Arabidopsis thaliana: one gene and its partner. The protein of the gene in region 2 interacts with the protein of the main gene of each other region in a pairwise test. Each region holds a gene or a part of one and is shown on either strand. Other genes may lie near its edges.

Region 1 (4,904 bases), 4.2 Mb from region 2:
GTAGTGACCATATTGTCATTTTTAGTTGTTACAAGGCTCTGAAGTCTGAACCATATTATATATAGGAAGAATTCATCAAGGTGCGATGATATTTCTATCATTTGTTGAGATCAAACCTTCGATTTATACATTTTGGAATAACCAGAGTCGCAGTCTCACGTTTTCATACCTAATGATTTAGAGTGTTCACTCAATCTCCAAGTTAGAGCAGGCTAATTTCGGCAAAACTCTTACCTGCAAACCATTATTTGGTATATGTGAGTGTACATAAATTGTCACCGGAATTAAACCATCAAATAACTTGTCACAAGCACTTTTTCTGCATATCCGAATTCGATGATGTGAAGAAAATGGTTGTACCAATTTTCAATTGCACATATGTCTGTCATTTTCAGATTATGTTACATGTAAAAACCAAGTATGGTTATTATATTTTGTTTTCAAAATGAGAATCAAAATAATAGAAATCAGTAAGTATTTCTTATCATGGTAGTTTACTTTGATTGGTTATCTTATTCTGTGTAAGCTCTCGACGATTTTATTCATATTTTGAAATACTATACAAAAGTCATGATGTGTGTACATTTTCCATTAGGACTTTCTAGACTTGAGCATTATTTTCCTTGATAGCTTCATCGACGTTTAGGCCCTGAAATCCAAATAAACAAACTCATAATTAAAATCCTGCTTTTCTAAAGTAACAAAGAATATTAAGTGATAAAGATTGGGAGAAATAATTACGGAAAATAATCAATGTTAATAATCCCAGCGACAGGATTAGCGATCTGAGCAAAAGCTTCTCGAGAAAGATCGAGCGTAGAAGCACAGCCACTGGGACAATGGTCAACGATCTTGACCTTCACGGATTTCCCCGTGCAAGGGTGAGGCACGGCGTTACGAGGTCCGCTGCATTTCACGGTGAACATTTTGCCACAAACTCGACCATTGTCCCATAATGTATCACTCGCTGCAGCGATCATCACTCCTTCTTGAGTACCTCTGTAACATGCTGATGCTATCAAACATGAAATAAAAGAAAATGATTTTATAACATTTCGCTGTAGGTTGATATGAAAATGTATAAGATAAGTTTGTTGTTTGTATTTGTTTTATAATTTTGGTAGTAAAACACACAAAAATTCTTACGAGTGTAACTTGTGTAAAAAGTTGCAATCCCGGGAGTTGCATATGAGAAAGAGAAGAGAAAAACAAGAACGGTAGAAAAAAACACAATACTTTTACTCATGATTCGTATTTATTTGTAAGAGTGTTTATCTTTGAAATGTGACATATCTATTTATATATCTGCTATATATTATATGACTAACTCTAAATATGCATGTATTGTAATTGTTTGCCATTGAAATATCTTTGACTGTTCCCATTTTTTAACATGTGTATAGTTGTAAATTTGTTATATTTAATTTCTTCTTATCTGTGTTGACTAAAGGTTTAGAAAGATTGTTATCCTCATTTGATAGCAAATTTACAGCCAAAGACTCCAGAAAACGTTTACTAACTACGCTGATCAAATTTGCCACGTAAATTTATATGAACAATCTCATAAAAACAATTCATCAAAAGGAAAAAAACTCTCCTTTTATAGGTCCTAAATGTAGTGAAATCAATATTTATGGACTAGTACATATGGAACAGTTATGAGGCGAGCGTTAATGGGCCGAACGAGACGATAAGAGACATTATTCTAAACCAAGCTCAACCACGAAGATAACCGGATCATAACCGCAAAATGAACCGGAATAAAACGTGAGAAACAACGAGATAATATTAAAAATGATGCAAAGAATTTCTGAATGTAAAGGTAGGTATGGTGACATAAGGAATGGAGTTACCGAGGAAGCTGCCCTTGTCGGATTGTCCTTATCACTTCCCACTCGGCATTACCAGATAGGAAGCTCAGAGGACAGAGATAATAATTGGAACCCAAAACTGAACCCTATTTTATATAATCTCATCACCAATACTTTATCCTTAAATGAAGTCTGGTTTCGCCCTTTGTTTTCTCCTCTAGTTTTCTTGTAACGCCAAACTACATTCTGTATGATCAAAATTTAGTAACATAATTTATCAGAACCCCATTGTTTTAAAACGTGTCTGTGTATTTGTGTTTATATACGCTTAATCTTCTTCTTTCTAGTTAAATTTAATCAATTTAATGAAAAATTTGGTATATAAAAAAAAAGACTTTGCTCACGAGTTCCTCTCATAAGGGCCAAAACTAGTTAAAAAGTTATCGTCAAAAACTGATATAAAAAAGATGTCCGAATATTCCCGCATATAAATATCTATCAGACAAACTCTTTTGTACAATATACTTTGAATCCGATAAATTTTCGATCTTCAAAATCCATAAAAATCTCTCCTTTATTTAGCCCTAAAACAGAGTATTAGAGTTTGATTCGTAAAAGAGAATATTTTTAATCTCCGCCGCAAGTCGATGTCGATAACGATTCCCTACGATGGCTCAATCTCCCGCGAGCCATCACCGTCTCCACCGCCGCCAAAAGCGAACACGAAGAATCTACCGACGAAGATTCTCTCTAACTTCCTCATAGGTCTAATCATGATCCCTGTAGCTATAACCGCTTTTATCTTTATCCTCACGTCTCTCGGTTTCACCTTCTTCTTCGCTTTCTACTGGTTTCTTCAACGAAACTATCGCCACCGTCTCCGCCGCCATCGCCGTCACGAATACTCAGATGGGTTATCTCCAAGATGCGTGAAGAGGCTTCCTCAATTCAAGTATTGTGAGCCTAGTTCAGAGTACGGAGGCGATGATTGTGTTGTTTGTATCGATGGATTTAGACAAGGACAGTGGTGTCGGAAGCTGCCTCGATGTGGACATGTGTTTCACCGAAAGTGTGTGGACTTGTGGTTGATTAAAGTCTCGACTTGTCCGATTTGTAGGGATAGGGTTTATAGATTTGAAGAAGGAAGAAGATGGAGACCACAAGGTGAAATTTTTTGATCGGTGGTTTTATAATTAGATTTGAAAGTGTGTTTAGTTTGTTATCATATTTAGCAGCAATTTTGGTTTTCATCAATAGTCATGTACAGTGTCTTTTTTTTTTTTTTACACGGCTTCACAATTGAAAGCTTGTTTCTTCACCGTTTGATGAATTTGATCCAATAAGAGAATGATGGGTTTCTGTAGAATTTAACTTAGTTTGAGGTTTGATTATCATGCCAATTATTAAATTCAATCTAGTCAATTACTGATAGAAATGTTGTCCATTTGTCACTTTAAACATGTTGCTTATGTTACCTTAATGATTTCTCATAATTTCACTTGAGATTCAGTGGTTAATCATCAATGTTTCTGTTTCAATTTGTCCATGATGAAGTATAAGTTCTAAGTAAAGCTTGGTTCATGTGATTTTAATTTACCTACTTCACCTCCAAAGTTATGTCAACTATGTTTTCAAGTGTGTGATTCAAAAGTTTATATTGAACATAAAAATAAAGGAGGCTAAAGAATCGTTTTCTGATTGGAATGTGAGATTGTGACTCACACGGAGAAAGTGATTGTGATTGGATCTGACTATAAGACTAAAGAAGTGTTTTTGTGAAGTAACAAGTAACATTGTCTAATTAGTGTTTTGTATTGTAAACTAATAATGACTTTGATTAACGAAATAATGTCACTTTAGTCAAATGTGTTGACTTTCTTGTCTTATACCGATGGCTCAAGTATTCCCAAGAAAAAAAAACAAATATCCCTCCGATTTCTGACTCGTCCCGTGACTCAGTGATTCTCCTCTTCCAATCCTCTCCGGAAGAACTAAACAAAAACACGATCTTTCTCAGATTTAGAGAGAGTAAGAGTGAGAGAGTGTCAGAGACACGAATCAAAGAAATGATTTTTAAAAGCTTCTGTTAATTCTAATTTGCATAGATTTGTTTACTCGAGCTTGAGCTTGAGCTTCTTCTAATGGAGTTAAGGAAGGACAAGCTTCTTATGTAAGTTTTCTTTCTCTCATCCGTCGGTTAGACTTACGTTCCTGAAAGTCTTCAACTTTGATTGCCCAGAAATTAAAAATTCTAGACTTTGCTTTAGATTTATCTCTTCTTTAGATGTTACAAGCTCAAGCTCCGATTTTGGGTACTGGGTTTAACTTAAATCTCTAGTTAGGTTTCAGATTACAGATTTGAGTTGTGTATTGCTTTGTAGGTTTTACTCAGAGGGGAAAGAAAGCAAAGAAGCTAAATGGGCAGTGAATGATCCAATGAGCAAATCTTATAAGCTCTCTTTACCTTCAGCACTAAGACCTGATAATCTCTTACCTGGAAATAGACTTAGATACACTGATGCTTCTAAGTCCAAATCTTCTAAAGTCTCATGGTACAAGACTATTCTTGATCCAGGAAGTGAGATTGTCTTGAAATGGAATTGGGTCTTCATTGTCTCATGTATGGTTGCTCTCTTCATCGACCCGTTGTACTTCTTTGTCCCAGCTATAGGAGGAGATAAAAACTATCCTTGTGCAAGGACTGATACAAGTTTAAGCATCCTTGTTACTTTCTTCAGGACAATAGCGGATCTTTTCTACTTGCTGCACATTTTCATTAAGTTTAGGACTGGTTTCATTGCGCCTAATTCAAGTACTAGAGTGTTTGGTAGAGGTGAGCTTGTGATGGATCCTAAGGCTATTGCTTGGAGGTATATTAAATCTGACTTCATCATCGATCTCATTGCGACGTTACCACTTCCACAGATAGTTATCTGGTTTGTTATATCGACTACAAAAAGTTACCGGTTTGATCATAACAACAATGCTATTGCTTTGATTGTGCTCCTCCAATACATCCCAAGATTCTATTTGATAATTCCGTTAAGTTCTCAAATTGTTAAAGCAACTGGAGTTGTTACAAAGACTGCTTGG
Region 2 (5,667 bases):
AAGTCAATAACAATAATAATAGATATTTTAGTTTGAGTTTATCAAAACATTTAGTTGGATTTGGATGAAAATGTAACGGTACATAAAGAGTGGCTATAATTTGTTGGATTTTGGTTTTGTTTATGAACTAGCACACTACAAAAAAAATCATGCAAATGATGAAATCTTACAACTCTTAGAACGGAAATTTTGATAGGACTTTTCTACCGTAAACCTACATTTTGACGAAAACATAAGTCAGAGAAAATATCCTACAAAAGAAAACAGTGAGAAGAGCCATGGAAATATCCTAGCTATATGACTGCATGAGTATGAAGTATGAACAAATCAGCCTTGATAATATTGTTCCTCTTTATCCCACCAGCATCTTAATTAAAAGAATACTGAATTATGTAAATCCATTCATATTGTGACACCTCAAACTTTATAAATTAACCTAAATGAGGTGACCATGTTGGGGAATGGGGGCTAAGTAACTCCATTAGAAGAAGAATGAGATAACCAAGTAAAATTAAAGTGAATCTACAGTTAAACTTCAATATTTTTCGAGATGTAGGTCACCCAAAAACGATACATATATTACAGCATAAATTTGGAAAATGTTAAAGTTAAAGCACAATATTGTGAAGTTTTGAGACTCTAAAATGCTTATAACTAAGCTATAAACATACTGCTTCACTGATGAATGATGTATTTTCTTCACTTCCTTCAATGGTCATGATCATACTCATAGTCATGAAGAGGATGACAAATTAAGAAAGAGGAACATCAATGTACAAGAGGCTTATGTTCATGTCCTATGTGATTCAATCCAGAGCATGGAAATGTTATAATTGGAGAAGCGACAATATGGTTCACGAGAACCATATTTATATGAAAATGGTACGTTACATAGTTTAGTGACCAATGTAAAACAGATACATAGATTAAATAGAGAGATATATTAGTGAGAAGGCATCCTACATTGAGATCACAGCTCGAGTTTGGTTCTTCTCTTCACCAATCCGAGCTGTTATCTCAATGTAGGATGCCTTCTCACTAATAAGATAGAGTTAGGTGAGTGGAGATAAGTTTTTTGTTAGAAGGACACATAATTGGGCTGAAAGTAATGCCCGTACCCAAATCAAGTGAGCCTTCATAAATGGGTCGATAGATATACATTTTCCAAGTAAAACCAGCGCTTTTGGAAATCGACTGAATCTGCATATAAAGTTTATAAACTTCGACTATGTATCTGATTTTGTTTGTTCGAACTTTGACTTTAGTTTCAAGCGAAGACTAAAATTTATTGGTATTGGTTCAATTGGTAGACATATTGATTTTATCAACAGAACCCGGTTAGAGAACTTGTTTAAATTATATACTTAAATCAACTACAAGGATATCAATGCCTAGTAATACTCAAAAATAAATTTGAGATTTAAAGCAGTATGGGACGATATGCAAGTGATTGACAATATTGCCAAGCTAGTAAGTATATTTATAGACTACGTGATTGTGATTAAAGTTCCAATTATTGGTATTTAGATTTGTCGAATATAGATTACAAAGTAAAATAATATATATTTTTCTTTAATTTACTTATCTTGAAAAAGCAGCAAAAGTTTTATTTATTTATATGAGATGCAAAAACATTACACGATATGAACTATACTGCCTTGACAAAATAAAGGAAGATACAAAAGAAAACTATGAATCGTGGGGCCTATCACATTTACATATCTACCAAAAGACATGTTCCTTAAAATGTGATAGATCCACGCAAATCTTTTGTAAGAGAAGATAAAAAACCGATAGAGAATCGAGACGTAAACCTAAAACGGTTTTAGTTCGATAATGAAATCCACATGATTTCAATTCCGCAATATCTGGAGTATTAGTTAAGCCCATTTGGCGATAATCGACATTCCACCGCACCCGAGAAGAGCCGCGATTAAACACTTGAACTGCATTTTGATGCTACCTTGAAGCTTAGGTCCCATGAACTCCGCAGCTAGAAGATCCACGAGTGCCATGTAAATGAGCAATCCAGCGGAGCATGCATTTAGAAGTCCAACCGTGATCAAAGCTTTTGGGCTATTATCTTGGTAAACAGTTGATAGAGCGATCCCTAACGCTATTCCGAATGGTGTTGTTACCGCGAAAAAGAACGCCATAACAAATTTCTTCATATTTGTATACTCAGCCTGAAATTATCTTAAACATTAGATGTTTCATATTTGTATATACAATTTCAACATTTGGCTAAAGATAATTTTTTTTCTTTTATCTAAAGTATATTTACCTGGAGGATACAACCGCCAAGACCCATGCCTTCGAACATTTGATGGAAGCAAAGAGCTGCTATAAGTCCTTTAATGGTGCAAGTGTCACTAGTTGCTCCTAGAGATAATCCAATGACCACCGAGTGAACTATGATCCCAAGTTCCAAGACCTATATATCCGTAGAAAGTTAGATATACCTATGTATTCGGTAATATGTCATTTAAAATACAATGATATTCGGTATGTATATATGTGCGTACGAACCATGGCAATGACTCGGTATCGCAAGAGCTGTGCATTTGACGAATCATCTTCTTTTATTGGTAAGGTAACATCATTTGCGGGGCCGTGACCATGACCATGACCATGGGGCATGATACCAACTGCGTTCTTGCTGGTGTATAGGCTCGTGGCCATGGAGTCAATGGCTAGAGTGATTAGACCCGATAACATAGCGAGAAATCCGGAGAAAGGAAATTTATGCCACGGGTTCTCTTCAAGACATATAGATGACAACATTTCGAAAGAATCAGGTAAAACGTGCATAAAACCGGTTCCAAGGATGATCCCGGAGGCGAAACACTTAATGATAGTGAAGATGTTTCCGTCTGGTTGGAGGAACGAAACGTTACGGCTAAAGAGAGGAGCTCCAACACCAATCATGCTTGCAATGAGGATTACGAAGATTGCTATGACTTTGAGAGGCAAAGCTTTAGCTTTGTTGACGCACGGGTTCGCTGACTCGCTTCCACATTCTTCCGGCGCAGTTGAAGTTGCTGGAGAGATTGCAAAAGAGACAAAAATGAGTACGAGGAAGATTGTTTTCATGAGAAGTGCTGAATTTGAAGCCATTTTTTTTTTTTTTCTTTTTTCTTTTGGATTGTTGTGTGTTTAGATTGTTTAATGTTTGTGTGACTTTGGACTTACTAGATGAATCGGTTTATATAGTAATGTGTGCTGGTTGTTTTCATGCCATTTATTGTCGATGATGACGAAATTTTATTTGATTACTCGTTTGCTTCCAGTGTGAAACGAGAAAATAAAGTAATTAATCGTTCAAAAGGAATAATGATAGAATTATGAAAGTACCTAGCTAGATTTTATTAAGTTGATAGAAAATGCATTTAAACGATAATATAAACTTAATAAAATGTCTTAAATTTGCATATTATTATATTGTACCAATCACTTATGTAAAGTTCTTTTATCCAAAGAAATATGACTCAGTGACAATTTATTTTGTTTAAAATCCATAGTATGATTTTAAAAAATTAAGTATATTTTAAAGTATATTTTATTTAAAAAATTTAAGTATATTTTATTAAAAAAATGTAAGTACATTTTATTTCAATCAGTTTTATCAAGTTATAGTTTCGTAAACATTCGAGTTTTTAAATTTGAAAAAGGCTATATTGGAATTAAGGTTTATATTATCGTTTGAATGCATTGTTCATGCCGTTTGCAGACCGCTTGAAGTCAACCCCATGCGTCTTCTATAGTTCTGTTAGTCAACTCTCACAAACGTTTACTTTTTAATCTTGTACTATTTTTAACTTTAAGCTTAATTAGGTTTATACTTTATAGTTTATGCTACGAGCACAACATCACACGTGACAGCTTGTGCTCAGTGTATGGTTGCAATCCAGTCACCAAAAACACTACATATGAATGTAGATTCCTCCTCCTTTATTCGGTAAATAGATTCCTCTTTTCATAGCTTGATGTCTAGTTTTCAAAAATGACATACATATAAGTCATTTTTCATTTTTGAATTGATTTTTTTTCAAGGTTTAATAACTAAGAAACAACTAAGTTTTTGGGAAAGGATAATGACAAATAGAATTCCATGAAATCGGGTATGAATGTTTAATGTGTCAATCCATGTGCTCCTAAAAAAGGGACATCTAGCTATGAACTTACGCATTTTTACATGAACATATAGTCACTGACTTCATTTATAAGATTATGGGGTTATTGACTTAATGATTATTGGTTTTATGGTTATTAATCTAGTTATCTTTTAGGTAAGGTATTAAGATATTTCAATGTTATAACTGTATACATAATTTCATGTCTATTAGGATTTATGAGTTCTTTTGATTCTCATGTCGTTTCGAAATAATCTTTTTTTTTTTGGTTTTGCATGGTTATATAGAAGAAGGCATAATTAATTTGATTGATTGTCATGCAATTAATCATCAGAATCATAGAAAAAATAGTTGACACAAAATAAATTATAGAAAATATAGTTATCTACATTATCCTGTATATTCAATACTGTCCATGCCGAGTATGTATCCAATATTCCATGGCATGCCTCCTAACTAGTCAACTTCGGTTATAATTTTCACTATTTAAGTTTTATTTCTTTGAAGAATGATTAATAAAATAAGCATCAAACTGGATTTATAATATAGTTTTTTTAAAGGTATAATATTATTAGTTGAGTGGTTTACCTCCCACGTTTTCATATGGTTGGACGAGCACGAAACAAAACGTGCCAAACTCATACTCCACCGACGTGACAAAATGCTTATATGTCTATTCGTTAACTTTGATACAGAAAATAGAATGAACTTGGGGAGATTTTCCATATTGGTGAAATAATTTTCTTTTTTCGGTCGAGAAAAGAAATATTTTTTAATTTGTGTCAATGTGTGATTTCGCTTAATTGTAGACTTCGTTTGTTTTCTCAAATTGCGCAAGTAAAAAACACGAATATATATATATATATATATTTTTTTTTTTCTGAACATAAAATAAAAAATAGATATATTCGTGTTTTTTACTTGCACAATTTGAGAAAACAAACGAAGTCTAGAATCAAACCAAATCAGATATTGACACAAATTAAAAAAAATAGTAAAAATTATTCTAAAAACTATAAACATTTACAATTGTCAGGATGAAGTGTGTATGATTTGAAAAAGATAATTTCAAAACTTGATTAAGGCATTAGTAAAATTGAAGACTATTCAAAGTTATTTAATAGTATGTTCTAAGAACTTATACTTCAAGATAATGCATTTAATCTTTAGAAAGAAATGGTTCAACTTGTTTCAATAGGTTCAGAATTTACAAGTATTTGATATGATTCCAGGTGTATGGAATCAAAACATGTGTGGAAATTTACAAATTAGTTAGTAAGTCTGTTATTGTACTTAAAGTTTTCAACCAAAAAACCATGAAATGGAATGAAATACATAGAATTTATAAGCTTTTTAGCTTAAGCCATTCACACCTACAAATTATGTGTTAGATATAGTACATTATCGAGTTTTTATGGTTAAATAGTTGTCATGAAATATTGTGTAATTTAAATCTAACCAAAGTAAGAAATTTTTCTTTATTAAAACAAGAGACTGTATGTACATTTTCTTGAAGAGAGTAATTTTAAATATA

The links. The genes of interacting proteins can lie anywhere in the genome.
Region 1: the proteins of IRT1 (region 2) and AT4G30370 interact in a two-hybrid assay, tested with the Arabidopsis thaliana proteins (one study listed by BioGRID).

What each region holds. Positions count from the first base shown.
Region 1 is NC_003075.7:14,856,828-14,861,731, reverse strand, and holds AT4G30370 (RING/U-box superfamily protein), read left to right. Parts: upstream 1-2,228; 5' UTR 2,229-2,458; coding exon 2,459-2,989; 3' UTR 2,990-3,288; downstream 3,289-4,904. Other genes in the region: AT4G30380 (Barwin-related endoglucanase), read right to left, coding at 643-649, 742-1,015, 1,147-1,246; CNGC17 (cyclic nucleotide-gated channel 17), read left to right, coding at 3,953-3,981, 4,193-4,904.
Region 2 is NC_003075.7:10,704,937-10,710,603, reverse strand, and holds IRT1 (iron-regulated transporter 1), read right to left. Parts: upstream 3,261-5,667; 5' UTR 3,118-3,260; coding exon 2,530-3,117; coding exon of another isoform or gene 2,482-2,529; exon of another isoform or gene 2,445-2,481; intron 2,435-2,444; coding exon 2,285-2,434; intron 2,187-2,284; coding exon 1,881-2,186; 3' UTR 1,589-1,880; downstream 1-1,588. UniProt on the Arabidopsis thaliana protein: High-affinity iron transporter that plays a key role in the uptake of iron from the rhizosphere across the plasma membrane in the root epidermal layer. Acts as the principal regulator of iron homeostasis in planta.